Callithrix jacchus: one gene and its partners. The protein of the gene in region 6 purifies or fractionates together with the protein of the main gene of each other region. This does not show direct contact. Links are inferred from orthologs where the notes say so. Each region holds a gene or a part of one and is shown on either strand. Other genes may lie near its edges. The genes, in order: kelch repeat and BTB domain-containing protein 7, WDR35, SIRT1, WDR19, IFT140 and TULP3.

The links.
Region 1: the proteins of TULP3 (region 6) and kelch repeat and BTB domain-containing protein 7 purify together in Homo sapiens (affinity purification with mass spectrometry; 3 studies listed by BioGRID and IntAct, counting the BioPlex papers as one, with this or other methods). This does not show direct contact. The link is inferred for Callithrix jacchus from reciprocal best matches to the Homo sapiens genes TULP3 and KBTBD7.
Region 2: the proteins of TULP3 (region 6) and WDR35 purify together in Homo sapiens (affinity purification with mass spectrometry; 5 studies listed by BioGRID and IntAct, counting the BioPlex papers as one, with this or other methods). This does not show direct contact. The link is inferred for Callithrix jacchus from reciprocal best matches to the Homo sapiens genes TULP3 and WDR35.
Region 3: the proteins of TULP3 (region 6) and SIRT1 purify together in Homo sapiens (affinity purification with mass spectrometry; 5 studies listed by BioGRID and IntAct, counting the BioPlex papers as one, with this or other methods). This does not show direct contact. The link is inferred for Callithrix jacchus from reciprocal best matches to the Homo sapiens genes TULP3 and SIRT1.
Region 4: the proteins of TULP3 (region 6) and WDR19 purify together in Homo sapiens (affinity purification with mass spectrometry; 5 studies listed by BioGRID and IntAct, counting the BioPlex papers as one, with this or other methods). This does not show direct contact. The link is inferred for Callithrix jacchus from reciprocal best matches to the Homo sapiens genes TULP3 and WDR19.
Region 5: the proteins of TULP3 (region 6) and IFT140 purify together in Homo sapiens (affinity purification with mass spectrometry; 5 studies listed by BioGRID and IntAct, counting the BioPlex papers as one, with this or other methods). This does not show direct contact. The link is inferred for Callithrix jacchus from reciprocal best matches to the Homo sapiens genes TULP3 and IFT140.

Annotation. Positions count from the first base shown.
Region 1 is NC_133506.1:160,346,038-160,351,747, forward strand, and holds the start of kelch repeat and BTB domain-containing protein 7, read right to left. Parts: upstream 3,194-5,710; 5' UTR 2,895-3,193; coding exon 789-2,894; 3' UTR 1-788. UniProt on the Homo sapiens protein: As part of the CUL3(KBTBD6/7) E3 ubiquitin ligase complex functions as a substrate adapter for the RAC1 guanine exchange factor (GEF) TIAM1, mediating its 'Lys-48' ubiquitination and proteasomal degradation.
Region 2 is NC_133515.1:95,300,889-95,305,827, reverse strand, and holds the end of WDR35 (WD repeat-containing protein 35), read right to left. Parts: intron 1,847-4,939; coding exon 1,603-1,846; intron 1,278-1,602; coding exon 1,127-1,277; 3' UTR 440-1,126; downstream 1-439. UniProt on the Homo sapiens protein: As a component of the IFT complex A (IFT-A), a complex required for retrograde ciliary transport and entry into cilia of G protein-coupled receptors (GPCRs), it is involved in ciliogenesis and ciliary protein trafficking.
Region 3 is NC_133513.1:62,524,072-62,529,010, reverse strand, and holds part of SIRT1 (NAD-dependent protein deacetylase sirtuin-1), read left to right. Parts: intron 1-2,097; coding exon 2,098-2,339; intron 2,340-4,537; exon of another isoform or gene 4,538-4,538; coding exon 4,539-4,691; intron 4,692-4,939. UniProt on the Homo sapiens protein: NAD-dependent protein deacetylase that links transcriptional regulation directly to intracellular energetics and participates in the coordination of several separated cellular functions such as cell cycle, response to DNA damage, metabolism, apoptosis and autophagy.
Region 4 is NC_133504.1:154,588,487-154,593,425, reverse strand, and holds part of WDR19 (WD repeat-containing protein 19), read left to right. Parts: intron 1-1,957; coding exon 1,958-2,028; intron 2,029-2,883; coding exon 2,884-3,056; intron 3,057-3,140; coding exon 3,141-3,255; intron 3,256-4,360; coding exon 4,361-4,467; intron 4,468-4,939. UniProt on the Homo sapiens protein: As component of the IFT complex A (IFT-A), a complex required for retrograde ciliary transport and entry into cilia of G protein-coupled receptors (GPCRs), it is involved in cilia function and/or assembly.
Region 5 is NC_133513.1:3,839,957-3,844,895, reverse strand, and holds part of IFT140 (intraflagellar transport protein 140 homolog), read left to right. Parts: coding exon 1-165; intron 166-1,378; coding exon 1,379-1,470; intron 1,471-2,016; coding exon 2,017-2,123; intron 2,124-3,052; coding exon 3,053-3,198; intron 3,199-4,472; coding exon 4,473-4,676; intron 4,677-4,939. UniProt on the Homo sapiens protein: Component of the IFT complex A (IFT-A), a complex required for retrograde ciliary transport and entry into cilia of G protein-coupled receptors (GPCRs).
Region 6 is NC_133510.1:16,258,242-16,261,878, forward strand, and holds part of TULP3 (tubby-related protein 3), read left to right. Parts: intron 1-1,802; coding exon 1,803-1,901; intron 1,902-2,294; coding exon 2,295-2,466; intron 2,467-3,034; coding exon 3,035-3,168; 3' UTR 3,169-3,637. UniProt on the Homo sapiens protein: Negative regulator of the Shh signaling transduction pathway: recruited to primary cilia via association with the IFT complex A (IFT-A) and is required for recruitment of G protein-coupled receptor GPR161 to cilia, a promoter of PKA-dependent basal repression machinery in Shh signaling.

The DNA of each region.
Region 1 (5,710 bases), on a different chromosome or scaffold from region 6:
ATGGATAAAAATTTACATTACCCAATTATATGTTCAGGAATTGTTCCTCTGACTCAATAAAGCGTGTAATGGGCATGGATTAAAAATACAAATGTAAAAAGCAAGTTACCTTGTGTTTTGTTTTGGTTTGGTTTAGAAGGGTGTGGAATCCTTTTTTTTTACTTTCTGTGTGCTTGTGAGGCCATTCTGCACATTATCAAAATGAAATCACTATTCAGTAACCTTAACATACATATATCCAATTTTTTTCCTTTGTAGAAGAAAACCAAAATAATTTTACAAACTATATTTAACTTAGAATATAAAGAACTGACTAGTTTAAGATTTTGAAAATCTACCACTTTCATTATTTTGAAAGTACTCATCCTTCAAAACGCCATCAACAATCCCTAGTCCAGTTTTCTATTATACAGATTTAAAAGATAAATTCTTTGTGGCACTAAAGAAAACTTAAAAATTAACAGAAGACTGAATTAAAAAAAAAATAAGCCCACTAATCAAAACAGTCCACTGTGGGATGAATACCTGAACCAGGAAAAAGCCTACCAAGCATCCCAACCAATTATATAGTTCTTGTTTGCATATTTTAATTTTGGACTTTCAGCACAGTAAATTATTAAACGGGTTGGTTTCAGGGACTGTTTAAACCCTGTAGTATTTCAAAATGTTACCCTTTCTAAACCAAATCTGTGGTCGTAATCAACCTTTTTTTCCCAAGAAAAAGAGAGGATATCTTTTTAACATACATTCCATAGCAGTAGAAACATCTTAGTGTCTCAAAATACTATTTACAAAGAGCCCTGCTGATCCTGTGCATTTCGCTGAGGTGCTACCTGCACCCAGACTTCATCATCTGAAAAAGAACTTGAACTTCCTGACTCAGAGTCCAGTTCACTGAATCCATCTAAGTCCCATTCAGTACTAGACTCACTCCGTGCATCATCTTCCTCAGTAATGAAACTCTGACCAGGTTCGAGGCAGGAAGGATAAACTCGAGCACAAAGGCAAATAAAGCCAGAGTCAAACTGCAAAAGGCCTAACATGGTACCTATATTAATCCACTGATCTTCCCTAGTATCATACTCATACACTGTCACTCGGTTCTTTTTCCATTGTGGGGTTGTAGAAGTGATGAGCAGCAACTTTTGCTCATGATTGACAATCTGGTAGTTGTGAGTTTCTGAATCCAAAGGAATATTACTAATCCGCCTCCATTCTCCCCTAGCTGGGTTGTAGACCTTCATGACTGGGATGTCACAGATACAATAGATTTCATCATTGAAGACACACGCTTCCTGAAAGTCACTGCGTTTAAGAGAAGCACAGTTTAGCCACATATTGTGGCTAGGATCATAGCAGAGCATGCGCTTACTGTTGACAGCATAAAGATAGTTCTGAACCACTATGAGTTCAAAAGAATAGAAGGAATGAGGGACAGGAGCCACCAATGCCCACTGGTTTCTCTGAACACTGTAGCATTCCACTTCCTTCAATTTAACTCCAGTAATAGGGTCTCGTCCCCCCAAAATGTAGATGTAGCCATTGAGGTATGCCACATCCATGCCCTCGCGACACAGCAAGCGATCTGCAAGTTGCTGCCAACTATTCTGAGCTGGTTTATACACCCAGAGGTCTTTCCTGGGCTGGGCAGCTAGGTAGATGTCATGATCTGGGGAGACACAGACAGCTGAGGAGGTGATAGTCTTAGTGTGAGCAAAGCTGGTTAAAGGTGACGGCATTGTGTAAATGTCCCCCGAGTAAGGGTCATAGCAGAGAAACGGATCTCTGGGGTGTCCAAAGAAGATCACCATCTCCTTGGCACACATACCCAGCCTCTGAGGTGGATTTTCTGCTGCAGGTACAACAGAGTTGTTGTTGCTGCTGTTGCTGCTGCTGCTGCCACTGCTGCTGCTGCTGCTGCCGCTGCTGCCGCTGCTGCTGCTGCTGTTTGGCACTGGCACCAGAGACTTGTACAGCAGGTCGCCATAGCGCATCTGCAGGGCCCCTTCAACAACGCCCAGGCAGTACTTCCTCACTAAGGACTTGCTCAGCAGCCCTTCTAAGTAGTCCTGATCTTCCTCAGTGAAGTGCGTCCAGCGCACGCACTTGAAGACTTCTGCAGCACTGGGACCCCGCTCTTTAGGAGCAGCCTCCAGCCACTGCACTGCTACGTGGCACACTGTCCGCTCACTCTCCACGTCCAGACTATCCAGGCGCAGAACAGCCAGCAGCTGGGCCAGGGTCAGATCTGCTAGAGTCTCCTCCCGAATCGAACCCATTCGGCTGAGCTGCTTGAAGTTGTGAGCTATATAGGACTGGGCCTGAGACCTCAGCTTGTGATGGTCAAAGGCGTCTGCAAACTTGAGGATGGCGGTGCAGTTGGTCAGGTCCAGGCGTCGGGCTAAGAAGGAGGCACAGGCTTCCCGCACGTACTCCAGCTGCAGCATGTCCGAGGCCGCGTACAGGCGCTGCACGTTGGCCTCACTGAGCGACACACGACCCGTGTAGCAATAGTCCACCAGCACCTCGAAGGACTCGGCGTCCACGTCGTGCATGGTCACGCTGGCCTGCTGGCTCTCGTACATGCCACCTGTGAACATGCTCTTGAAGTAGGGACACGCAGCTGCCAGCACGTTGCGGTTGCAGGAAAAGAGGCGACCCGTGCCGGGCCCGCTGCCGGGCGTTACCACCTCGATGGTCACATCGCACAGCAGCCGCGCGTCGTAGAAGGACTTGAGCTGGGCCAGGAGGGCTGCAGAATGGGCCGTGTCCTTTAATTCCTCTGGGCCCGTGAAAAAGGCCGAAACCGAGGGCTTGGAAATCCTCTTGGGCCGCCTCCCACCGCGGGGACTGGCGAGGCGGCGAGAGCGCGGGGCGTCCTCCCGGGACTGCATGATGGAGATGGCGACGGGCGCTGAAGGCGAGAACGGCTGCAGGACCCGGCTCTGGCTCCTCCTCACCCTTCCCTCGCTGACGCTAACACAAGCCGCTTCCTGGAACAGACTGCGGCACGGACCTGACTCCTGAATTCTGCCTACCCCGCGGTGAGGCCTCCCTTTATCGCGTAGACAGTGGCTGACTCACCCTCTCTCACTTCCGCGCCCTTTCTCCGCCTCTGCTCGCGTTCACAGGACCCGCTGGCTGGGAGCCGCGGAAGCCCCACTGCCGCGCTGGCGATCCCGCTAGGCGCCCTGGAGAACTACGGTTCCCGGGTTGCCTTTCGCGCCCCGAGGCCTGCTGGGGCTCTCGGACAGCCGGGCCAAGACCGAGGAAGGAAACCGCTTTGCATGTTGGGAGTAGTAGTTTGTGAAATATCGCGAGCTTTCCTTTCGTTGCCTGCTCTAACAGAAGTAGAAATTAATACTCCGGGATTTGATGGTGAAGAACGAGGTCTCACTATTGTTGCCAGGCTGGTCTCGAACTACTGGGGGCTCAAATGATCCTCCTCCTTCGGCCTCTCAAAGTGCTGGGATTACAGGCGTGAGCCACTGCGCCCTGCCAATATTTTACAGGGTTTTGTGGGGTTGAATGATATGTTACATAGGATGCTTAAATATGTGTATTTTTTTATTAGAAGAATAATTAATAAATCACTACCCCGTGCCTAGAATGTAATCAATAATTGTTAGATTCTCTTTTATAATTTATGATAAATGAGGCACCCGCTAATTTGAAACCAAGTATTTTTTTTAAAACTGCAAAACGTTACAAAGCTTCCAATTTTTAATTTTTATTTTTTGAGAGGTTCTGAAGAGTATTAATATTTTCAATATTAAATGATGTATATTGGTCTCATTTAACAAGAATGTCTTAGATGGTTAGGTTGAGGTCCTAAAGAGCAGTATTAATAGATGGCCTCAAATATGCAAATTGAGCATATACAAATAGATGATTTGCTGCTCTCACTAACATTTCATCTCTGCAGAGCAAGAGTATTTTCATTAAGCTGCAAATGTAAGTGTGTTCAAATTGAATAATACAGCCTCTTTCTTTTTTTTTTTGAGATGGAGTTTAGCTCTTGTTACCCAGGCTGGAGTGCAATGGCACGATCTCGGCTCACCGCAACCTCCGCCTCCTGGGTTCAGGCAATTCTCCTGCCTCAGCCTCCTGAGTAGCTGGGATTACAGGCATGCACCACCATGCCGGCCTAAGTTTTTGTATCTTTAGTAGAGACGGGGTTTCACCATGTTGACCAGGATGGTCTCAATATCTTGACCTCGTGATCCACCCACCTCGGCCTCCCAAAGTGCTGGGATTACAGGCGTGAGCCACCGCGCCCGGCCAAATACAGCCTCTTTCACTGCCATTCTACAAATCAGTTAACAGACTCTGCAATTGCTTTCGTAGAGAAGTTTTAGGGAGAATTTTAACTCAAAACATTTCAACAGACTTTGTTCTGTACAAAAGCACATGATTCTCAGACTTCAGCATTCATACATGCCCTGACGTTCCTTGAATTAATACACAGTATAGTCTATGCTTTACAAAACTATTTAATATATGCGTTGATCAACAGCTAAATCATCAAAACCAAGTATTAGAGATTTGAGGCAGGAAAATAGGGCCTGGAGGCCGGGAACATAGGCCGATGCACACCTCAGCTCTAACAGGAAGTATCCTCTCCACAGGGTGTATGCCGAGCAAATGGCTGTAACTTTACCTCATTCTCTTCATTTACATAGGGCATACAACAAGTAACCAGTGGAATCCTCCGGAGGGTCTTTAAACCTCTAGAAATGCTGTAACAGGGCCCTTGAGCCCCAATGGAGTGTACTTTCATTTTCAACAAATCTTTGCTTTTGTTGTTTCATTCTATCCTTGCTTTGTTTATGAGTTTTGTCCAATTCTTTGTTCAAAATGCCAAGAACTTGGGCACCCTGCACTGGCAACAGATAGACTTTTAAAGATCACTTTTATTTAAAAAACAGTGACCGCTCCTGGTGCTGGTTTGTTATGTTACCATAACCAAATAAATAAAATCATCCGTATTACAATGCATGTGTGGATAACACATCACAAGAGAATAACTTCAAATTGTTCTTCTCTTGGCTGAAGAGTATCCGCTGGAAATATTCTAGGGTAGACACATTAAGTCAGCCTCTGGGCTCCAATATCTCCTCTGTAAATAAAAAGAGATGTTAGATGTCCCTGAGTTACACCAGAGAGAATTAAGTCAGTCATTGCCAGTAACGCCAATTGTTTCCTCACTTGTAATGAACACCAGCCGGGAATAAAAAGCCTTTTTTATTATCTTTTGAGACGGGTTCTTGCTCTGTTACCCAGCTTGGAGTGCAGTGGCGCCATAATAGCTCACTGCAGCCTCGAATTCCTGGGCTCAAGCAATACTTCTGCCTCAGCCTCCCAAGTAGCTAGTACTATAGATGCATGCCACCACGCCCAGTTAATTTTTAAAAAAATGATACATGGGGTCTCACTATGTTGCCCAGCCTGGTCTGGAAATCTTGGTGTCAAGCTCTCTTCCCGCCTGAGCCTCCAAGTTGCTGCAATTACAGGCGTGAACCACATGCCCAGCTCAGGAATGGCCATTTTGAAAAAACTTCTTAAAATATTGGTAAAACACTAAATCTACCATTTAAAAATTTTCCGTGTGTAGTGTCTGTAGCATTAACTATATTCACATGGTTTTGCAACTGTCACAAAACCGAAGCTCTGTACCGATTAAACAATAACTCTATAGTCTCCCACTTCG
Region 2 (4,939 bases), on a different chromosome or scaffold from region 6:
AGCACTTTGGGAGGCCAAAGCGGGTGGATCATGAGGTCAAGAGATCAAGACCATCCTGGTCAACATGGTGAAACCCCATCTCTACTAAAAATACAAAAAATTAGCTGGGCATGGTGGCGCGTGCCTGTAGTCCCAGCTACTTGGGAGGCTGAGGCAGGAGAACTGCTTGAACTCAGGAGGCGGAGGTTGCGGTGAGCCGAGATCGCGCCATTGCATTCCAGCCTGGGTAACAAGAGCGAAACTCCATCTCAAGAAGAAAGAAAAAAGAAAAGAAAAGAAAGATAAGAAAGAAGAAAGAAAGAAAGAAAGAAAGAAAGAAAGAAAGAAAGAAAGAAAGAAAGAGAAAGAAAACAGATGCATATCAAGAAAGAATCACTCCCTCAGCAATATTTGTATAAACGAAGGGTCCAGCTTAGTAACAATGTTTCAACAGAAGCTATAACTACAAAATTGATACTTTTGTTTATTTTCATTATAAATAGAGCAAAGTTTTCTGCACAATAGTATGAAAGTGTAAATTCCAAATGCCATCTCTTGAATGAGATTTTTAGGACAGATTTTAAAATAGAAGAATAGGGCTACTAGAAGCAATTCAAACTGTAAAGAAAATTCTTCAAATGCCATCACCTCACTTCTGAAAATATAACAAAGAAGACATTCGATGCTTATTTCATTAAATACAGCTACAGAGAGAGCTCATTTCACTATTACAATTAACTTCCTAGTCATATGTGTTATAAAAATTCTCTAAATTCAACTTTTTCCCATTCCCATGCTTCCCCCATTTCTCACTCCCTTTAAGATTTTTCAATGAATTAAGTTATCTTGACACTGTGAGAAAAAATATTTATTTGGAATATTCCCATGGTATCATGTAATCAAATACAAGAAAAAGAGAGAGAAAATATGGTTGATTTTCATACATTTTATATGAAAATCAGCCTTATTTCACAGTTGTATTTCTGTAAAAAAAATTATATTAACATATTTTGTGCAAAAATTCAACTATAAATAATGAGGCTGATTTTGATACAAAACTCATAGAAATAAACCTTATTACATAGACAGTTCTTGCTATGTATGTTTGCTACATATATTTTACAGTGATATACAGGTCATCATTCCTTTATCCCACTGGACTGTGGCATAAGGGGCAGAAGCTATAGTGGCTTATTGCCTGAGCAAGGACACAGTGCTTGCATACACCACACATCCAGAACTGATCCTCAGTGATCGGGCTTCCCGTGGCAACGCATGTTGGCAGTTTCCCTTCTCCACTGTAAAATAAGACAAGAATCAATTCATTACACTTTAAAACTTCTAATTAATCTAACAATGTATTTAATATACTTTAAAAAATAACGAATAAAACAATTCAAGATTAATGTCAATTACTGTCATTTCAAAAACTGTTCTCAAGAAAAACACTTTCTTACGATGAAACAATAAAGTATAAATACAGCTGTAAGAATAAAGGAGGGTATAATGTTAATGTAAGTTGCTTCAAAATTTAGTGCTTAAGTCCTACATTAAACATTGTACATCTAGAAATCCAAGCTTCTAATAAGGCAGAATGACATCCACTAATTAAAATTAGCCTACCCTTCCATAAGGCTGTCGTACAATTCAGATTTTCTGTTGTCTGTTGAAGTATACTTGGTGAAGATTTCTAAAGCGAGGTCTTCATACTGCTGTTTCTGTTCTGAACTGAGAGTCTCTAAAGAAGTAAGTTTTAAGAAAGCTTTTGAGCAAGTCCCGAAGGCTCTGCTGGCGCATGCGCAGAGTGCTAGCAGAGAGTAGATCTCCACAGCAGGGATGATGTCTTCATAGTCTTTCAGGTGAAAAGCTAAGAAAAAGAGGGCAATTTGGGTTATTTAAAATAATTATGAATATGCATAAGGAAGAATCTCAGTTAAGGTGTTTTCATTGAACTTGCATGAACTAACAGACTGAAAGCAAACAGTGCTGAGAGATGGGAGCACTAGGAGGAGGAACTAGGCTACATGATATCCAAGGTTCTGTGAAGCTGGCTAACAGCTCAGCAGCCTGTGAAAAGAGCCACCACCAAATGCTGCACATGCCTGTGCCAACTCAGAAATACACACACACACACACACACACACACGAACAATTTTGGTGTCAAAACACCCACCTTTTCTTCGATTATGTTAGAAAGTTCTATGGCACTTCAGAAAAAGCAAGTATTATACTATGTCAGTCATAAACTGTAAGATAATACCATGTTTCCTTTTGTTAATAAAAAAAAGCAAAACAGTATAAAATCGTATGTTTTTTTCTTTGTGTTTCTTTGGACAGATTATATTGCTTTCGTATTATTGCTTTGTTGTTTGTCCCACAGAAACACAGGGATTTTGAGAAAAAGTGAAAATTAGTCTCCAAGTTGTCAGTTTGGATAATTCAAGTTACAACATCTTCTTTGCAATTATACTGGAAATACAATCTTTTTTTAAAATGCACTATAGACTTAATATTAGATTTGTAACCAATTTGAATCTTTTTCTTCTCTAGACCTTAAAATCTTTAAAATACTTTGTTATAGTATATCAAAAATTTCATAAACAAGCTTAAAACAACATATTCTTGTGTTTTACAATCAGAATCCTATAAACTGGTCTGGGGTCAAGTATTTACAACAAAGTTTAGTAGAAGAAATGTATATAAAATGTAACCATTCAGTTACAATAAACAATATCCTCTAATTTCACACCCAAAAGACAATAGGTTCAAGGTTAATAATTTACAGGGGGTACATTGTTTCAGATCATTTTACCACTGAGAAAATAAAGGGGGGGGGCAAATAGAGATCTTCACCAGTAGGTGAAGCATCTCAAGTTAAAGATCTAATTGTTCTTTTAAGTCTAGAAATGGTATACAAATTGTATATAATACAACTATTTTAAATAGTGTATAATTTATGTCAGATAGCAGTTACAAGTTATAAAATAAACATTAAAATAAAAAATAATTTTATATATAACTAATAACCAATTAGGAAAAAAACTTTACAACCTCAACCTCATTGTTAATGACAACAAAATTAGAAATAAACTGAAAAATAAACATTTAGAGCCTGCAAGAAGAAAGCTACAAATCTTCAGAAACACAGATACACAAGGGATTTTTTTTTTTTTTTTGAGATGGAGTTTCACTGGTTACCCAGGCTGGAGTGCAATGGCGTGATCTCGGCTCACCGCAACCTCCGCCTCCTGGGTTCAGGCAATTCTCCTGCCTCAGCCTCCTGAGTAGCTGGGATTACAGGCACGTGCCACCATGCCCAGCTAATTTTTTGTATTTTTAGTAGAGACGGGGTTTCACCATGTTGACCAGGATGGTCTCGGTCTCTTGACCTCGTGATCCACCCACCTTGGCCTCCCAAAGTGCTGGGATTCCAGGCGTGAGCCACCATGCCCGGCCACAAGTGATTTTTAAAATGGATGTTTCTGACAAATATCACATGTTCTCACTCATATGTGGGATCTAAAAAGGTTGACCTCATGAAAGTAGAATAGACTGATGATACCAGAGGCTGGGATGGGTACGGGTGATGATGAGAGGTTGCTTAATGGATATAGAAATAAGCTCTAGGGTTCAGTAGCACAGTAGGCTAACTATATTTAACATGAATTTACTGTATATTTCTAACCAGCTAGAAGAGAAGATTTATAATGTTCCCAAAGCAATCATAAATGTTTGAGGTGATAGAGATGGCAGATATCCTATTTACCCTGATATGAGCATTACACATTATATGTAGGAAAATATCACCTGTACCCCATAAATATGTACAATTATGTATCCATAAAAAACAAAAAATTTTCAATGATGCTTCTGAATGAGAAAACTTATAAACACAGAAACAAGTTCAATAGGCCAGATGCAATGGTTCATGCCTGTAATCCCAGCACTTTCGGAGGCTGAGGCAGGTGGATCACGAGGTCAAGAGATCAAGACCATCCTGGTCAACATGGTGAAACCCCATCTCTACTAAAAATACAAAAAATTAGCTGGGCACGGTGGCGCGTGCCTGTAATCCCAGCTACTCGGGAGGCTGAGGCAGGAGAATTGCTTGAACTCAGGAGGCGGAGGTTGCAGTGAGCCAAGATTGCACCATTGCACTCCAGCCTGGGCGACAGAGCAAGACTCATTCTCAAAAAAAAAAAAAAGAAAAAGAAAAAGAAATAAAAAATAAGTCCAATATTAATATTAATGCAATTCTAATCCAATCCAATAGGACTTCATTAAAACCTCTCCAACCCTAAAAAAAGACTGTAAAGTTGATCTAAATGAACAAATACAAGACAACATTCAAAAAATATTTTTTAAAAAGGAATAATGAAGGTGCATTTAAATACCAGATATTAAAATGTAAAAGTAAAGAAGCCAGTAGTGGCACAGAAATACATGAATAGAAAATAGGAAGAGATTAAGAATATGTATAAATTTAGTTTCATGAAGGTAGAATTTCAAATCTGTTAAGAAAGAATAAGCTCGATACATGGTTTCAGGATAACTTAACTGTTATAATAAACAATATTTAACAAACTTAAAGGAATTCCTAAGCATGGCTCCTGAAAGAAAAATATAAAGTAAAAGACTGATATGACGATATAAAAATACTCTATTCATATCATCATCGCAGCTACCACTTATTGAGAGCTCACGAAGTCCAGGCAGCGGGCAGCGTAATAAGTGAGTTTTCTTTTTGTGAACTTCTCAATCATTAAAAGAACTACATGATGAAAATACTATTATCCTCTCTTTACGCAAAGAGAAACTGAAGCTTAGAAAGATTAAGTAATTATAACTTATAAATGCTAGGGAAAATCAATGTATGTGAAAGAGGATTATTACATATGGTCTCTAAAGAGCTCTTATAAAAATAATTAAAAATCAAAATCATCCCTATAGAATTCCAGAA
Region 3 (4,939 bases), on a different chromosome or scaffold from region 6:
CTCAGCCTTCTGAGTAGCTGGGCTTACAGGCACCCACCCCCATGCCTGGCTAATTTTTGAGTTTTTTTTTTTTTTTTTAGTGGAGACAGGGTTTCACCATGTTGGTCAGGCTGGTCTCAAACTCCTGAATTTGTGATCCGCCCGCCTTGGCCTCCCAAAGTGCTGGGATTACAGGCATGAGCCCTTGTGCCCGGCCTTTTTTTTTTCTTCATCCAGTTAGACTGTCTTTCTCACTTACTTCATATTTCTTGTTTTTTTCACTTTTATACTTATCACTTCTCAACAAGTGCTATATCTTACATTGTATTGTTTCCTGGTCTAGAATATGTAAGTTTCACAGGAGCAGGAATTTTTTTTTTTGTTGGGGGGGGAGGGGTCACGAAGTTTTGCTCTTCTTGCCCAGGCTGTAGTGCAAGGGCGCGATCTCAGCTCACCGCAGTCTTCGCCTCCCTAGTAGCTGAAATTATAGGCATGCGCCACCACGCCCGACTAATTTTGTATTTTTAGTAGAGACGGGTTTCTCCACGTTGGTGAGCCTGGTCTCGAGCTCCCAACCTCAGGTGATGCGCCTGCGAAGCCTCCCAAAATGCTGGGATTACAGGTGTGAGTCACTGCATCTGGCCAGGGATCAGGTATTTTCGACTGACTTGTATACTGTTGTTTTGTCAGTGCCTAAAATGTGCCTGGCACATAGTTTGTGCTCAACAAATATTTAATAAACGTGAGTAAATATTTAATAAATATGTGAATGAAATGGGAAAATATTTTGTAATAGAAAGCATTTTTAGATTTTTATACCAAAGGTAATAACATAATCATCTTGAAAGTGGATCATCTTTTTTCTTTTCTTTCTTTTTTTTTTTGAGATGGAGTCTTTGTCTCTGGAATGCGGTGGCCAACCTTGGCTTACTACAACCTCTACCTTCTGGATTCAAGTGATTCTTATGCCTCAGCCTCCTGAGTAGCTAGGATTATAGGAGCATGCCACCATGCCCAGCTAATTTTTATATTTTTAATAGAGACAGTTTTGCCATGTTGGCCAGGCTGGTCTCGAACTCCTGACCTGAAGTGATCTGCCCCTCTCGGTCTCCCAAAGTGTTGGGATTACAGGTGTGAGCCACCTCTCCCAGCTGAAAGTGAATCTTTACAAATGGTTTGATTATTTAAACAGTAAAGATTAGTTTCTCTTTGGTGTCTGTAGTTTTATTTAAATATATATATATTTTTAATCAACTAGGGAGCTGATTTCAGCAATTTCAGGGTAAAAGAAAATGATTAGGCTGGGTATGGTGGCTCACGCCTGTAATCCCAGCACTTTGGGAGACTGAGGCGGGCAGATCACCAGGTCACGAGATCAAGACCATCTGGCTAACACAGTGAAACCCAGTCTCTACTAAAAGTACAAAAAAAAAATAGCCAAGCTTGATGGCACGTGCCTCTAAACCCAGCTTCTCAGGAGGCTGAGGTAGGAGAATCGATTGAACCTGGGAGTCGGGAGGTTGTGGTAAGCCGAGATCGAGCCATTGCACTCCAGCCTGGGTAGCAAGAGCGAAACTCTTGTCTCCAAAAAAAAAAAAGGAAAAGAAAATGATTAATTCTCAGAACAACAACATCGTATGTATTATCTTGCAAGATTAGTTAAGGTCAAATTGAAAAATTACCGGAAAAATAATTAAGCTGGCAGTTATGTATAGGTTTTCATTTCTTTTTCCTGTGTGGTTTTAATGGTAAGTAGTATAGGCTTTTAGGTCTGGTACGATCTTTTCTGTGTTGACTTGTAGCAGCTTTTTGTAAATACTTTTGTGTTATTGTGGTGTATGTTTCTAGATTTTAACCATAAGAACTTAATTTTGGTTGTTAGGTTCTTAAAGTATGTATTTAGAGCTCAAGGGGGTCTCCCAACTCTGATTAGATCTTCCTAGTCTCATTGGGATATAGCATTAATTATGAGTGTGTACTAAGAATGAAAGACCATTAAATTACATTTTCTTTGCAAAAAATTCTCACAGATTGCTAACTCATTACCTCAGAAAATAAATGAGATTGTGAATTATTTGACAAGTTGACTTGATCTAAGTCTTTTCCCTCTTATTGTAGGTCCATATACTTTTGTTCAGCAGCATCTTATGATTGGCACAGATCCTCGAACAATTCTTAAAGATTTATTGCCGGAAACAATTCCTCCACCTGAATTGGATGACATGACACTATGGCAGATTGTTATTAACATCCTTTCAGAACCACCAAAAAGGAAAAAAAGAAAAGATATTAATACAATTGAAGATGCTGTGAAATTACTACAAGAGTGCAAAAAAATTATAGTTTTAACTGGAGCTGGGGTATGTAAGACTAGTAAATGGGGGAAGTGGTAAATGTATTTTCTTATGCCTTTTCCAAGTAGGAAACATTTTTCTGGTTTAGGAGGATTTATCCTTACATGATAATGGATGTTTGGAAACTGCCAAAAACTGAGTGTAGCAGCAGTTGCTAAATTAGTTCAGATTTTTTAAACCTCTCCAACAGCCTTTAAAAAAATTTGCTTCTGCTTATTTATAGCACAGTGGGTAAATGGAATTAAAGCAAGATTTTTACCTACATTATATCACAGCTCGTAAAGGAGATGCAGGGAATTGAAACTCTGCTTTTATTAAGGTATGTCAGAGTCTGAAGGAGAAATTGAATATTTGTTTGATTTTTATGAGAAACTGGAAATCTAGTTGGTATTCACAAGTGAAGAACTTAATGTTGGGAAGATAAGAGATTCCTACCTTCCCTCCATTTTAAATTAAGATGATAGGATTGTGGCGGCTTGACATTTTCTATTTCATCTACCTTAGGGTCTCAGCTAATTTGTTACCTAAGGCTATTGCACAGTGTGTATTTCATACAGGATATATTGCATGTTAGCAACCAGAGCAACTGCTGTAGTAAAATTTTGTCCTGTTTTCTGCCATTTCAAATTGTGAAAAGGTGTTACATAATCTTAAATGATCATCAGGAGTATGTTTTGCTGACAGATAATGATGTAGACAAGTTTGTTTAACTTACCTTAAATTGACCTTGACTCCAGGTCAAATTGGAGTCTACTCTGGTAAGATGATGAAACAATAACTTCTGAAATCTCTATTTGAAATGTCAGGATTTTTTGTATGATTAGTATATAAATCTGTTCTTAAAGAAATGAAGAATTGAAATATTATACAGCCTTTTAAAAACTTTTCTGAGGCAGGGTCTTGCTCTGTTGCCCTGGCTGGAGTGCAGGGGTGCCATCATGGCTCACTGCAGCCTCAACCTGTACTGGCTTATACAGTGGTGTTTTTTTGTTTTGTTTTGAAACAGAGTTTTGCCCTATTATGCTCCTATAATCCCAGCTTCCGGCTATTTTTTTGTCTATTTTTTTGAGACGGAGTTTCGCTCATGTTACCCAGGCTGGAGTGCAATGGCGTGATCTTGGCTCACCGCAACCTCTGCCTCCTGGGTTCAGGCAATTCTCCTGCATCAGCCTCCTGAGTAGCTGGGATTACAGGCACACGCCACCATGCCCAGCTAATTTTTTGTATTTTTTAGTAGAGACAGAGTTTCACCATGTTGACCAGGATGGTCTCAAATCTCTTGACCTCGTGATCCACCCACCTCGGCCTCCTAATGTACTGGGATTACAGACTTGAGCCACCGCGCCTGGCCCTTTTTTGTATTTTTAGTAGAGACGGGGTTTCATCATGTTGGCCAGGTTGGTCGCGATTTCCTGACCTCAGGTGATCCACCTGCCTTGGCCTCCCAAAGTGCTGGGATTACAGGCATGAGCCACTGTGCCTGGCTATTTTTTATGAAAATAGAGAAATGTAGTAGTAGTGCGGTGATAGAACCCTAACTATAGGAACGATTTCTTTGGAATTAATTGTCTGTAATAGAAATTCTTGGCTAGTGCAGTGGCTCATAAATATAATTCCAGCACTTTGAGAGGCAAAAGTGGGAGGAACACTTGAGCCCGGAGTTTGAGACCACCCTGAGCAAGAGACCCCCCGTCTCTACAAAAAATTAGCCTGGTATGCTCATGTGTACCTGTAGTTCCAGCTACTCAGGAGGGTGACGTGGGAGGATTGCTTGAGCCTGAAAGGTTGAGGCTGCAGTGAGCCATGATGGTACCGCTGCCCTCCAGCCTGGGCGTCAGAGTGAAACTGTCTCAAAAAATAAAAATAAAAATTCTTCCCTACTTAAAATAATTTGTTGATGGTTTACTCCCTTTTCAGGTTGCATTTGCATTAATTTGTTGGTTAAACGCTTAAAAGGTTTAAAATTAGCCTGAGAAAAATTTCTTATCTGTGTTAAAGGTGGAATATGAGGTATGTTTAATCATACTCAGTTATTTGGGAGTTTTATTTCTATTTGAAATTAGGGTAGGGTTGTATTTTTGTTTCTTAAAAGGAGTTTCAGACTAAAATTTTCTTTCTCAACTCTTATCTAGTTATATGGTAAGAGAGCTAGTTTTTATAAAGGTAGAAGATTTAATTTTACAAATTATGCCATGTACATTTTAGGTGTCTGTTTCATGTGGAATACCTGACTTCAGGTCAAGGGATGGTATTTATGCTCGCCTTGCTGTAGACTTCCCAGATCTTCCAGATCCTCAAGCGATGTTTGATATTGAGTATTTCAGAAAAGATCCAAGACCATTCTTCAAGTTTGCAAAGGTACTATGAACTCTTCTGGTTGTTTCTTTGGCCTTGTCTCATGAAAAAGTATTTTGTTCATACATAGCTACTTTAAGATTATCATTCATTGTTTAGTAAAGTGGATGCTGCTACTGTGGCAGAGTAAGATCACTCATTATGGCCAGGATTCTCTTACTTCTAGAGAACGACTGTCATCTACTTTTCTTCATTGTAGGAGTGAGCTTATTTTCAAAGAGACAGTTTCATATTTTTAAAATTTGCACTTC
Region 4 (4,939 bases), on a different chromosome or scaffold from region 6:
AGGCACATCCCTGAGGTCAGGAGTTCGAGGCCAGCCTGGCCAACATGGTGGAACCCTTTCTCTGAAAATAAATAAGCAAATAAATAAGATCAAAAGATAAGGTACAAAATGAGAAAATATTTTTAAACCACATGTCCAACAAAGGACTAGTATCTAGAATATGTAAAGGACTCTCAAGACCCAACCGTATGTCATATGCTTGACATCTGTATATGTTATCAACCCAACCTGATACTATTGTTGTTTAAATATCATTTATCTATTTACATATTAATTTATTTATGCAACACAAAAATAATAAATTTATCCATATAGTTGCCATTAAGCAAAAACCCAAAAGTAATAAAAGCAAATAACCCTATTAGAAAATAGGCAAAAGACATGGATTTCACCAAATAGTAACAAATACATGAAAAGATGTTCAACATGATAAGCCATTAGGGAAATGCAAACTAAAACCACAATTACCTATTACTACCCCTCTGATAGAATGGCTAAAATGAAAAATAGTGATAACACCAAATGTGGGTAAGGATGAGGAACAACTGGATTACTCATACGTTGCTGGTGGGAATGCATCATGGTACAGCTACTCTGGAAAACAGTTTGGCAGTTTCTTAAAAAACTAAACATGCAGTTACCATATGATCCAGCAGTTACACTTCTGGCCATTTATTCCAGGGAAATGAGCACCCGCATTCAGATAAAATCCTGTATGTGAATGTTTATAGCAACTTTATTTGTAATAGCCAAAAACTGGAAACAATCTAGATGTCCTTCAGTGGATGAATGGTTCATCCGTGCCGTAGAACACTGCTCAGCAATAAAAAGGAACAACCTATTGATGTACCCAGCAACTTGAATTTCCAAAGGATTGCACTGAATGGAAAAAAAAAAAAACTCAACAGGTGGCATACTGTATGATTTCATTTATATAATGTTCTTGAAATGATAGAATTATAGAAACAAAGAACAGATTAGTGATTGCCAGAGGTTAGAGATGGAGCTGGAGTCAGAAGGAAGGAGGTGAGTGTTTATAAAAAAGCAACATAAGAGATCTTTGTGGTCATGGAACTATCTATCCTGGCTGTGGTTGTGAATCTCATGAATGTCATGTGAGAAAGTTACTAAACACACACACCGAGTACAAGTAAAACCAGGGACATCGGAATAAGATTTGTGGTTTGTATCAATGTCAGTATCCTAATTGTGATATTATACTATGGTTTTTCAAGATGTTACTATTGGGAGAAAGGGGGACCTGAAATCTCTGTATTGCCTCTACAACCACATGTGAATCTAAAAAACTTAAAAGTTCAATTCAATGAAAATAATGAGGGAAAAAATAAGAGGAAAACACTAGAAGGGAAGAGAAGGGAGAAAAGGAGATTAGAAGGAAAGAAATGTTACAACTATTAGGTTCCAACATTGTGCTACACAGCTTTCATTTGCATCCACTTATTCCTATTAGGCCCACATTTTTCAGAGCTTTCAACTTGATCCTTCTGATCCAAATGTAATGCTCTTTCTATACTATAATTCATTTCCTTTTGTATGAAAGAACTCTGGTCAGGGGAGAAGGGGAGCGCATTGTAAAGAGAAGCCTGTATCGTCTTATAATAATTAATACTACTCAGGAAAATATTTTTGTACTCAGATTTCTTCAGGACAATTTTAAGCTCCTTATTTCTGAAGCTATAGATCAGAGATTAAGCCAGGTACAACCTTACCCCCACATCTCTTCACGCAGCAAACAAACAACAACAACAAAACCCAGAAAAATTTAAAGATAAAATATAATGAAGTACAGAAATTCTAATATTTTCTTACCATAAACCAGTAGATCATTCTGTACATCACATTTTGGAGACCAGGTACCTATTCCATGGTTTATAATTTTTTGTGGACTAAAACAGTTTTATATAAAATTATTTTTTAATCTATTTTTGTTTTTCAGCATTAAAATCCAAGACTTGGTTGACTTAAAAGACATGTATGCTATACTCAGCCTGGATGAGGAAAATAAAGGTATTGCTTTTTCTGAAGTAGATTGACATTTTATTCCAGTTACAGAGAGTAAGGCTGTGTTTGTTATTGTGTGATTTGCATTCCTTATAGGAGGAATAAATTTTATGACTCTTCACTAGAGTTTCCTAAAATAGTCTCCTTATTTTACTAATTATGTTGTCATTCTGCTTTACTAGAAAGATATGTCTGCTTTGATCCAGAGATTTATAGTGAATTTTATCCTAATTCTAATGTAAAGTATAAATTCTTACATACAGTCATGCCCCACATAATGTTGTTTCAGTCAGCAGTGGTCCATATTTACCTCCCTTTCTCCCTTCCTTCCTTCCTTTCTTTCCTTCGATAGAGTCTTGTTTGTTGCTCAGGCTTACAATATTATATCTAAACATTGTCTGTGTTTAGATATATTTCAGTGTGCAAATACTTACCACTGTGTTACAGTTGCCTACAGTATTCAGTACAGTACATGCCATACAAGCTTATAGCGTAGGAGCAATAATAGGCTATGCCATACAGCCTAGGTATGTAGTACTCTATTTTGTCTAGGTTTGTGTAACTACACTCTGTGATGTTCACACAACAACAGAATCACCTAATCATAGATTTCTTAGAACATATCCCTGTTGTTAAGTGACATGTAACTGTACTTTCCCTTTGAGCCACAGTGAATGAGCCAATGCTCATATTCTTATGCCAATCCATGGCAAATTTCCTAGTCTAAATAAAAATACTTAAACTGGTAAGGTAAATATTTTAAAATTTTGATGCCTCTGGTAGTTTAAATGAAAATATTTGTTTGCTGCCTACAACTGTATATTGTTTTTGAATAATCATTTATGTTGTCGATTATTTCAGGATTGGGTACCTTGTCCTGGACAGATGATGGCCAGTTACTAGCACTCTCTACCCAAAGGGGGTCACTTCATGTTTTCCTGACCAAGCTTCCTATACTGGGGGATGCCTGCAGCACAAGGATTGCATATCTCACCTCCCTTCTTGAGGTCACCGTAGCCAACCCTGTTGAAGGAGTATGAAAATTGTGTTATTTTTCTTTAACTAATAAAATTAAATTAAGTTTAGCAGTTGATTTACTACGATTTTCTATATTTTAGGAGCTACCAATCACAGTTTCTGTTGATGTGGAACCCAACTTTGTAGCAGTAGGTCTTTATCATCTGGCTGTAGGCATGAATAATCGAGCTTGGTTTTATGTCCTTGGAGAGAATGGCAAGTCTAAATCTAGTTGTTTATTCTTATCTAGCATATAATTTCTGTTCTTATTTGGGAAGTACTGGAAGTTTCTTTTAAGACCAAGTCTTTCACTCTTTTTTATTCACATATTTCATTCTCAGCTTAAATGGTTTTGTAAGTCTTCTAAAAATTTGCATTATTTTTAGAAAGTTTTTATTCTTTACCTTTGCAGTGAAGGTAGCATAGCATAGTGGGTAGAGTATGAGTTTCAGAATTAGAGAGGCCCTGGATTTAATTTCCCCTTCCGCCTCTGTTAGCTAAGTGACTATAGACACATCCTTTACACTTGTGAGCCTTACTCATCTGGAAAATGAGGATACTTCTACTTTTAATGGATCATGAGGAAGATTAAATGAAATAAAATGTGTGATCTCACTTGGCACAGTGACTTTTTTAAGCACGCCTAAACCTAGTGGGTATTTAATAAATGCTCTGTCTCCCATTTTATTCTTTTTTTTTTTTTTTGAGACGGAGTTTCACTCTTGTTACCCAGGCTGGAGTGCAATGGCTCACTGCAACCTCCGCCTCCTGGGTTCAAGCAATTCTCCTGCCTCAGCCTCCTGAGTAGCTGGGATTACAGGCACGCGCCACCATGCCCAGCTAATTTTTTGTATTTTTAATAGAGACGGGGTTTCACCATGTTGACCAGGATGGTCTCGATCTCTTGACCTCGTGACCCACCCGCCTCAGCCTCCCCCCTTGTATTCTTTGAATGATAGCTATTAGCATGTGAGGGAAACCTTGTTTTATTTTTCTTCCCCTGCCTCCTCCCCATCACCTTTACCCAATTCTAGGTCAGATAACCCTCAGGAATAGAACAAACCTGAAAATTAACCTGTTAAACAGGAAATACTATTAAGATTCTTGCCACTTAAGGTTTAATTGTTTTGCATGTGATTTTATTTTCTATTACTTTGTTTCATGTAAACCATATGGAATGTCCGAAGGCAAATTTCTATGGCAACTCAGATTAAAATCAAATTTTAAGTTCAGAATATTTTTGCAAAAGCACACATTTGCAAGTGTGTATGAGATAGTTTTACCAATATTTTAATATGTTGTTTTTAAAAAATTGCTACAGCTGTGAAAAAATTGAAAGATATGGAGTATTTGGGAACAGTAGCCAGTATTAGCCTTCATTCTGACTATGCTGCTGCACTTTCTGAAGGCAAAGTCCAGTTACATTTGGTAAGTATAATTTTGAGACCTGCTAAGTGAAATTATGATGAACAGCCTAATATCTGATTATCATGAATATTGATCAGGAAGCAAAGATACACAGACTAACTAGAAAGCCAGGTATGAGTAAGGAATTAACAAAACCCTTCCCTTTCTATATGAGAAGTTCAGTTGACTTTCTAACCCTGTTCCCCAAAAACCTGATAAATATCAACAGTGCTACTCACAACATAGTCTTTTAGTAAATAATAATAATAATTGCCCTGTTGGTAAATTGCAGCTAGAAGGAACTATAAGTGAACTGTAAGAACATGATGGGATCTGCAGTGTAATAAAAAAATGGGAATGCCATACCTTTGGGCTTCCTGGGAGATGCTGACTCATATTTGGGCGTTTTGCACATGGGGGTCTTTGAAATTATGCCTGCTGAGTTGTTCAAGAGATGTTGGCACCTGTGAAGAGGGGGCTTCTAAATCAGGGC
Region 5 (4,939 bases), on a different chromosome or scaffold from region 6:
TATGTGGATGAGAATGGCAAGACCACTCAGGTGGTATCTGCAGACAGCGCAATCCACACACTGTTTTACGTGGAGAAGAGGGAGGCGCTGGTGGTGGTCACGGAGAACCTCCGGCTGTCCCTGTACATGGTGCCTCCTGAGGGCGAGGCAAAAGAAGTGATGAAGGTGAGTGGGAGCAGGCTCGGGGGCTCAGGCCTCGGGGACAGCCCTTTCTCTTGTGGATAGCCAGCCTGAAAAGCCTATCATCTGTGTTAGGGCGGCCATCATAGCCAGCCGTGTCATTACTGATCACACCACATTCAGCTCATAGGTGAAGGAAGCAAAAGAGATGGAGATTTTCCTGCATCTTTAGGTGGATGTGGGGCCTGATGGGAGACAGCCTGGGCCCACCCGCAAGCTGCACCCTTAATGACCTGGGGTGCAAGTAAGAGAAACACGCTCACTGCACAGCCCCTCATTCCACCTGCAGAACCCAGTGGGTAGGCAACCGGATCCCCAGCTTCCAGCTGGTTTATTCCACAGAAATCCATGTTCCTTGGAGGCCACTAAACTTTCCCCAAAGATGCACTTGCAGATGACAGAGCGGACTTTTCCTCAGTCAGCATTCATTCGGTCCCTTACGTATTCCATAAGGGCAGCTGAGGACACAGGCACTAGTCCCAGGGACCTGGTCATAGGGGCCACCTCAGGCCACCATAACAATCTACCACAGACTACATGACATGACAGCAGACATTTGTCACAGTTCTGGAGGCTGATGTCCCACGTCAGGCAGGCAGCAGGGGCCTCCTCTCATTGTCCTCACAGGGCGGGGAGGGAGAGTAGGCACCAGCCCTGGTGTCTCCTTCCATGGCCACAGCCTCCTCAGGCCAGGACTCACCCTCCCCATGACCTCATTAACCTTAGGTACCTCCTGAAGGGAAATACAGTCACACTGGGGGTTAGGGCTCCCACATAGGAGTTTGGGAGATGCAGTTCAGTCCATGGACCTCTGCTCAGCTCCTCACTGGCTGGTGGGCCCTAGCCAGGCCTGTTCTTTGAGGAACAGGGATGGCAGGCCTGCCCAGATTGTGTGGTTGGACTCAACAGGGAGCACCCAGCTCAACTTAGTGACCCTCCAGAGCACGTCCAGCGATGGCCACTCGCCCGCACCATGCCCTTGGTAGCCATTATTCAATGTGCGAGGGTAGTGGTTTGCTTCAGCCTACACGTCTCCAAAGCCAAGGCCGCCTCTCAGAGTCTCCATCATTCGTCCCTGCGTTTTCCCTGCTTGTTGAGTCTCCATGAAGTAACTGAGCACCAGAGACTCCGGGTCCTGAAGCCGGGACAGGCAGTCTCAGCAAGCACAGTGCCCCTGCCTCCTTGTTTCCTTACACAGGTCAAGCTGAGCGGGAAGACCGGCCACCAGGCAGACATCACTTTGATTGATGGCAGCCTTCTCGTGATGGCCGTCGGGGAGACTGCCCTCAGGTGAGAGTCTGTCTTTCCAGTGCCCCTCAATGAGAATTCCCTACGGAACAGGCTCGTCTAAGGCAGCTTTATGTCGGAATGTAACAGCATATGGACTGTAAAATGCATATATAATGATGACCGCTCACACACTGGACATACCCATTCACCAGCTCCCAGACTGAGGAGCTGAGCGTTAGAGACCCCAGGAATCCCTGCCTGCCCTGCTGCGCTGCCTCTGGGCTCCCCCTACCCCCGGGGGCGCTGCCTAGGTGTCTGCCCCTGGAATCTGTTTTCTTGGTTTTTCGGAGCGTGGCGTAACTAGAGTGAGTCGTGCTGGTCTCTCCTGCTTGCTACATTAGCGCAGTGTGCTACCCGGGTGCTGTCTCATGCTCTGCATGGGGCTGGAGTGCTGTGTTCTTATGGTGACCTCATGCCATACACAAACCATCTTCTATCAGAAGCTGCTTTCTTTGATTATAAACAGGATGTAAAATGCCCTAAATGTAACATCGGTGTTCATTTTCATATCAGGAGTCTTGCGACTTGCTTTCTTTTCCCTTGTAGATTCTGGGATATAGAACGAGGAGAGAATTACATACTGAGTCCAGACGAGAAGTTTGGCTTTGAGAAAGGAGAGAATATAAACTGTGTTTGTTACTGCGAAGTCAAAGGTGAGGCTTCCTGGCCTGGCACGAGAGAAACAGAACCAGCCACAAGTCTTGTGCTCGGGCAGCAAAATAACGGTCGTGAGATTTGGAGGCTACTCCAACAATGGCAACTTGATAGCTTGCAGTCGATCAAATAGTCGGCCAAGGACAAGCAAGCTACAGCAGAGCTCTGTGATCCCACCTACAGGCCAAGGGGTTTGGTCAGAAGAATGACAACCTGGCATCCCAGCACTTCGGGATGCTGAGGAGGGAGGATCCCAGCACTTTTGGAGGCTTGAGTCCAGGAGTTTGAGACCAGCCTGAGCTACGTAGTGAGACTCTGTCTCCACAAAAAATACAAAAATTAGCCAGATGTGATGATGTACAGTTGTGGTCCCATCTACTCAGGAGGCTGAGGTGGGAGGATTGCTTGAACCTGGGAGGTTGAGGCTGCAGTTAGCTGAGATGGTGCCAGTGCACTCCAGCCTGGGTGACAGCGCATGACCCTGTCTAAAAAGAAGCATGACAAACCTATTCCATGCTCATTGATCTCTGTTCGCTCCTGAAATGCCACAGGAAAGACAGTTCAGGAAGTGTGTGTGCACATGTGTGTATGTATGCATATGCACATCCAGAGCACAGGAGCCCAGGAGGTGAGCCGGAGCTGCGTTCTTCCAGTGCCTGCTGAGTGCTGAGCACAGGGCAGCCCTGAGCCAGGTCTTATGGCCTCTGGGAAAGCTGGGAGAGCAGCATCCCCACCACCCCAGCACCAGTACTTTGAGGCCAGGGTGGGAAGGACCTGGGCAGGGCAGAAAGGCACAGCCAGGGACGAGGCGGAAAGGCAGCAGACTGGGCGAGGGCTGATGCTTTGAAGAAGGGGTCAGAGAAGAGAGCTTATTGATGTTGTTTTTCCTTTCCAATTCTGTTCACATGCGGTTTGTTTCTACCTGTAGGTCTTCTGGCCGCTGGCACTGACAGAGGACGAGTAGCCATGTGGAGAAAAGTACCAGGCCTCCTGGGCAGCCCTGGGGCAGAGGGCAGGGACAGGTGGGCCCTTCAGACCCCTACTGAGCTCCAAGGAAACATCACGCAAATCCAGGTACAGCCTGCAAGGGTGTTCAGTGCATTCACTTTCTGCTGCATGCAAGTGGAGGCCATAACTGACTTTGAACCTTTTTTTATTATTCAACTTAAGATTCTGTGCAGATAACAATAATAAGACATTTTAAAAGAGATTTAGGATTTCAGAATTGCAGTGAAGAGATTGTGGACCTGTATTAGTTAATACTGGTCTACCTACCAGCCCGTCCCTCCATCTCCGTCTCTCTCTATATATATATTAAAAAGGCTTTACAGAGATAGAACTCATAATATATACCACGTGGTTTTTGGTATATCCACAGAGTTTTACAAACATCACCGCAGCAAATTTTACAATAGTTTCATCGCCACAAAAAAATCTGTGCCTTTTAGGGGTCACCCATATTTCCCCCTCTCCAGTCCTTGGCAGCCACTAAAGTACCTCCTGCCTCTAAGGATTTGCCCGGTCTGGATGTTTCATGGAAACTGAATCACACAACACATGGACTTTGTGTCCATCTTTTAAGTCTAAATCCCTCCAGATGGCAGCCTGTGTCAGCGCTTCACTCTGCTGTGCACAGACCACGGTTAGTTTCTCCATGCATCCGTTGATGGACATTTGAATAATGCTGTTATGATCACTTGGATACAAGTTTTTGTGTGCGGATGTTTTCATCTCTTCAGCATTTGGTTCTTTCTTAGGGTTTCTCTCTGTTCCTGCTGGGACACTGGCATCGTACCCTCCTCTGCTTCGCCAGGCACGGTTTCCTTTGGTTCTTTCGGCAGATGCGTAGTGGCCACTTTGAAGTCTCTGCTGAGCCCCACGTCTGGGCCCTTTCATAGCAGTCTCTGGTGTCTGGGTTTTCCTGTATATAGTTCATGCTTTCCTATTTGCATGGCTTTTCATTTACTTTGATAGATTTGGAAGTTTCATGTAAAATTATGAAACTGACATTTCACATCAGCGAGCAAAGGCTGGATGGTTTAATCCATTGTATGAATTTCCTGTCCCTATGTCACACTCGGAAAACCTCTAGAAGATGTTCTTCCCATCAGAACAGATTTATAAGTGCTGCCCGTCCAGTCACAACTCCTGAGCATCAGTGTTTTGAAGTCTTTCTACAGAGCACACAGTAGAGCTTTATAAAGCATTTATTGAAATCATTTTCAAGTCTGAAACAATGGTGCCTGGAGAATGGTCTGGGCTCTCGTGTGTGGAAGCATTCCCCTGCTGCATCTTTCTCTTGCTCTGTTCTCACATTTGGTTCTTTCTCTTGCAACCTGGAAATGAAGTGGGGCTCCAGGAAGAACCTGCTGGCGGTGAACAGCGTCATCTCCGTAGCCATCCTCAGCGAGCAGGCCATGTCATCACACTTCCACCAGCAGGTGGCTGCCGTGCAGGTCTCCCCGAGCCTGCTGAATGTGTGCTTCCTGTCCACGGGGGCAGCACACAGCCTGCGCACCGACATGCACGTCAGCGGGGTGTTTGCCACCAAGGTGACTGCCAAGCGGACCCGGGGTTGGAGGAGGGGTCTTCAACACAGACAGAACAACTGCCCCATCGTCAGGTAGTTCAGGCCAGCAAGGGCCCCAGACGGCAGGTTAGGCACCCTCAGTTCCATCCTTAACGAGCTTATTTCCTGGACATCATATTCACAAAGAAAATAGTAATAAAAACAGGCTGGGCGTGGTGACTCACACGTCTAATCCCAGCACTTTGGGAGGCTGAGGTGGGCAGATCACTTGAGGTCAGGAGTTTG
Region 6 (3,637 bases):
TTCTCTTTTTCTGCTGCCACTTGATGCAGACTTTACTTCTTATCCAGTGGCCAAAGGTTACAATAATTTAAAGTTGCTATTTTTTTGCTTTTAATCTTGTCCTATCTAGTTTATTCTTTTTTCTCTTTTTAATCTTTTTTTCCCTCTTTTTCCATTTATAGTTCACTTGTTTTTAAATTTTATCTTATTATTTGTTTTATTTTACTTTTTTATTTCACACCCAGGAAAGACCTGAGAACTATCTAGCTCATTCTCTACTGCTACCAAATGAATCTTCCTAAAACAAGGCTCCAGATGAGCCTCCTGTTCTGCTTCACATCTTTTAGTGAGTACCCACTGTGTCAGAGCTAATATGGTAGCCTTTGCTTTTCAGACTCCTAGTGGCTCCCTCCCCTTCCCATCACACTAGCCAAGCAGTCCTCCTGTCAGTCCTTTGTCCAACCACTCATCTTTCCTCCCTGGAGAGCCTTCCCTTTTCCCCTTTCTTGCCTTTTGCCTTATCAAAGTCTTTTCTGATGTACTCCACTAGATGTGGTTGACAATCCTTTGTCTGTGTCCTGGTGGCATTTGTAACCCACATGTGCTTTTATTATTTGTTGAAAATGAACCATCTCCACCAGTTGTAAACTCCTGTGACCTTTTACTCACTGCTATATCCACACTGGCACATGGCCTGGCACACAGTAGGTATTCAAAGAGTTGTTGAGTAAGAGAAAGTAAGAAGGAACTGACCCATCTCAGCTGGATTTTTTTATTCAAGTCTCAACTTTCTTAAATTGAAAATAATCACATCATTTGACTCTTGGGAGGTTTTATCTACATGCCTGAGAACCATTTGACTTCACACTTTGATGTAAAGTACCTTTCCTCTATAGCTCTCATATATAATCTGCTTGGCTTTGCTGGGTGCAGTGGCTCCCACCTGTAATCCCAGCACTTTGGGAGGCCGAGGCAGGCAGATTGCTTGAGCCCACTAGAGACCAGCCTAGGGAATATGGTGAAACCCCGTCTCTACTAAAAATACAAAAATTAGCCAGACATCGTGGCAGGCTCCTGGAGTCCCAGCTACTAGGGGCGCTGAGGCAAGAGGATCACCTGAGTCTTGGGATGGTCAAGACTGCAGTGAGCTGTGATCGCGCTGTGCATTCTAGCCTGGGCGACAGCATGAGATCTTGTTTAAAAAATAATAATCTGCTTGGTGGCCTGGCTTGGGATTCATGCCTGTAATCCCAGCACTTTGGGAGGCCAGGGAAGGCGGATCACCTGAAGTCAGGAGTTTGAGACCAGCCCGGCCAACATGGCAAAATCCCGTCTCTACTAAAAATACAAAAAAATTAGCCGGGCATGGTGGCTGTTTTTGAGTCTCTGTTTACAGCAAAGTAATAAAATTATTTTTGGTACACTTGTTTGTTTTGAGACAAAGTCTCACTCCTGTCACCCAGGTTGGAGTGCAGTGGCATGATCTCGGCTCACTGTAGCCTCTGCCTCCTGGGTTCAAGTAATTCTCCTGCCTCAGCCTCCCAAGTAGCTGGTGCCTGCCCCTGTGCGTTCTAATTTTTGTATTTTTAGTGTAGATGGGTTTTTACCATGTTGGATAGGCTGGTCTCGAACTCCTGACCTCAGGTGATCCACCCACTTCAGCCTCCCAAAGTGCTGGAATTACAGGTGTGAGCCATTACACCTGGCCAGTACACCTGATATTGTTAGCATCTTACGTTCTGAAGAAAGTCTCATGTTATAAAAGAATGTGGTCTCTATTTTTTTCCTGTTCCCAAGTTCTGCCTTATTTTCCTGTCTTCCAGGAAACGAACGTGCTTGGATTTAAAGGTCCTAGGAAAATGTCTGTGATCATTCCTGGAATGACACTGAATCATAAGCAGATCCCATATCAGCCACGAAACGTGAGTAAGAACATACTTAAATCAGCAAAGGACTCTAAAAGACAGTAATACAATACAGAGAGATTAAAAAAAAAAAAATGAGCTTCCAGAGCCCCACACTGGAGCATGGCCCCATACACTTCTTTAGGAGAGCTGCCCCTCGAGAACCTCAGGATAAGTGCAGTTGCAAAGTCGTTGCCTTGAAACTGTTTTGTCTACAAAGAGAAATGCTGGATAATATAGAATAATAATAAAAAAAAAACCTGTTCATTTTTGGCTTTCATTCTTTGCTTCTGGTTTACTCTTTCTGAAATGGAGAAAGTATTCTCCTGCTCCACCTTCTACCTCAGAGAGTTGAGAATGAATGAGTTCTTAGAGTTCCCAGTACAAAATAATGATTTTCCCTTTGGACAGAACCATGACAGTTTGCTATCAAGGTGGCAGAACAAAGCTATGGAAAATCTGATTGAACTGCACAACAAGGCCCCCGTCTGGAACAGTGACACTCAGTCCTATGTCCTCAACTTTCGTGGCCGGGTCACTCAGGCATCTGTGAAGAACTTCCAGATAGTCCACAAAAATGACCGTAAGCCTCCAGGAGGGGTTGGGCAGGAAGCGGAGGATAGATGCTCTTACAGGATGGGGAAATGTACATTCCCTGTATGTGACAGGAAGTGATAGGAGATATTCATGGAGGAGAGACAGGGTTTTTGGAAAGATGAAACTACAGTTGTAGAGAAAACTTATAAGTCACTGTGCTGAGGAGGGGAGAGGAGTATGAGAGATATGCTACAGCACATCAGAAAAGTCAGCTGGCACCATGGCTCATGGCTGTAATCCCAGCACTTTGGGAGGCCAAGTTGGGCAGATGCTTGAGCCCAGGAGTTCGAGACCAGCCTGGGCAATGTGGTGTGAAACCCCTGTCTCTACAAAAAATATTTAAAAATTAGCTGGGCACGGTGGCAGGCACCTGTTATCTCAGCTACTGTGGGAGCATCGCTTGTGCCAGGAGGTCAAGGCTGCAGTGAGCCTTGGTCATGCCACTGCACTCCAGCCTGGGTAACAGAGCAAAACCCTAAGAAAAGGAAGAAAAAAAGTTTTCCCCTAGTGCAACCACATTATTTTCTAACATCCTGATTTCTTTCTGTTTCTAGCTGACTATATAGTTATGCAGTTCGGACGTGTGGCAGATGATGTCTTCACACTGGACTACAGCTACCCACTTTGCGCAGTACAGGCCTTTGCCGTCGGGCTTTCTAGCTTTGACAGTAAGCTGGCATGTGAATGAGAGAACAATCAAGCTGGGGGCTGGGCTTTCTCCCCACAGGGCTTGCAGGAGCAGACGTGGCCTCCCCTTCCCTCCCCTTCCCTTGCCCCAGGACATGAAGAGCAATAATAGTTTGCCCCTTTTGGAATGATCCCTGAGTATATAAAACACACACACACTCTCTTACTCCTTTTCCAGGTTTCATAGACTTGGTGAGGGATCACAGCTTAGCACAGGGAGGTTCTTGTCACATTGGGGTGTCCTGAAGTGAGAGTGGGATTTCCTGTGCTTAGAAACTCGCCGTAGAACCAGGGACTGACATCGCAGTTCCTCTCCTCTCTTCATTCCCTCACAGCCGATTGGCCGGCACCAATCTTCGTCACAGTGGCTGTGATCACATTTGTGATCGATTATGTGAGAATTTTATAGAATTGTCTTCATTTCATTTAAGGCTGAAAGCATAAACTCTAGAGGTGACTTAGTCAAAACT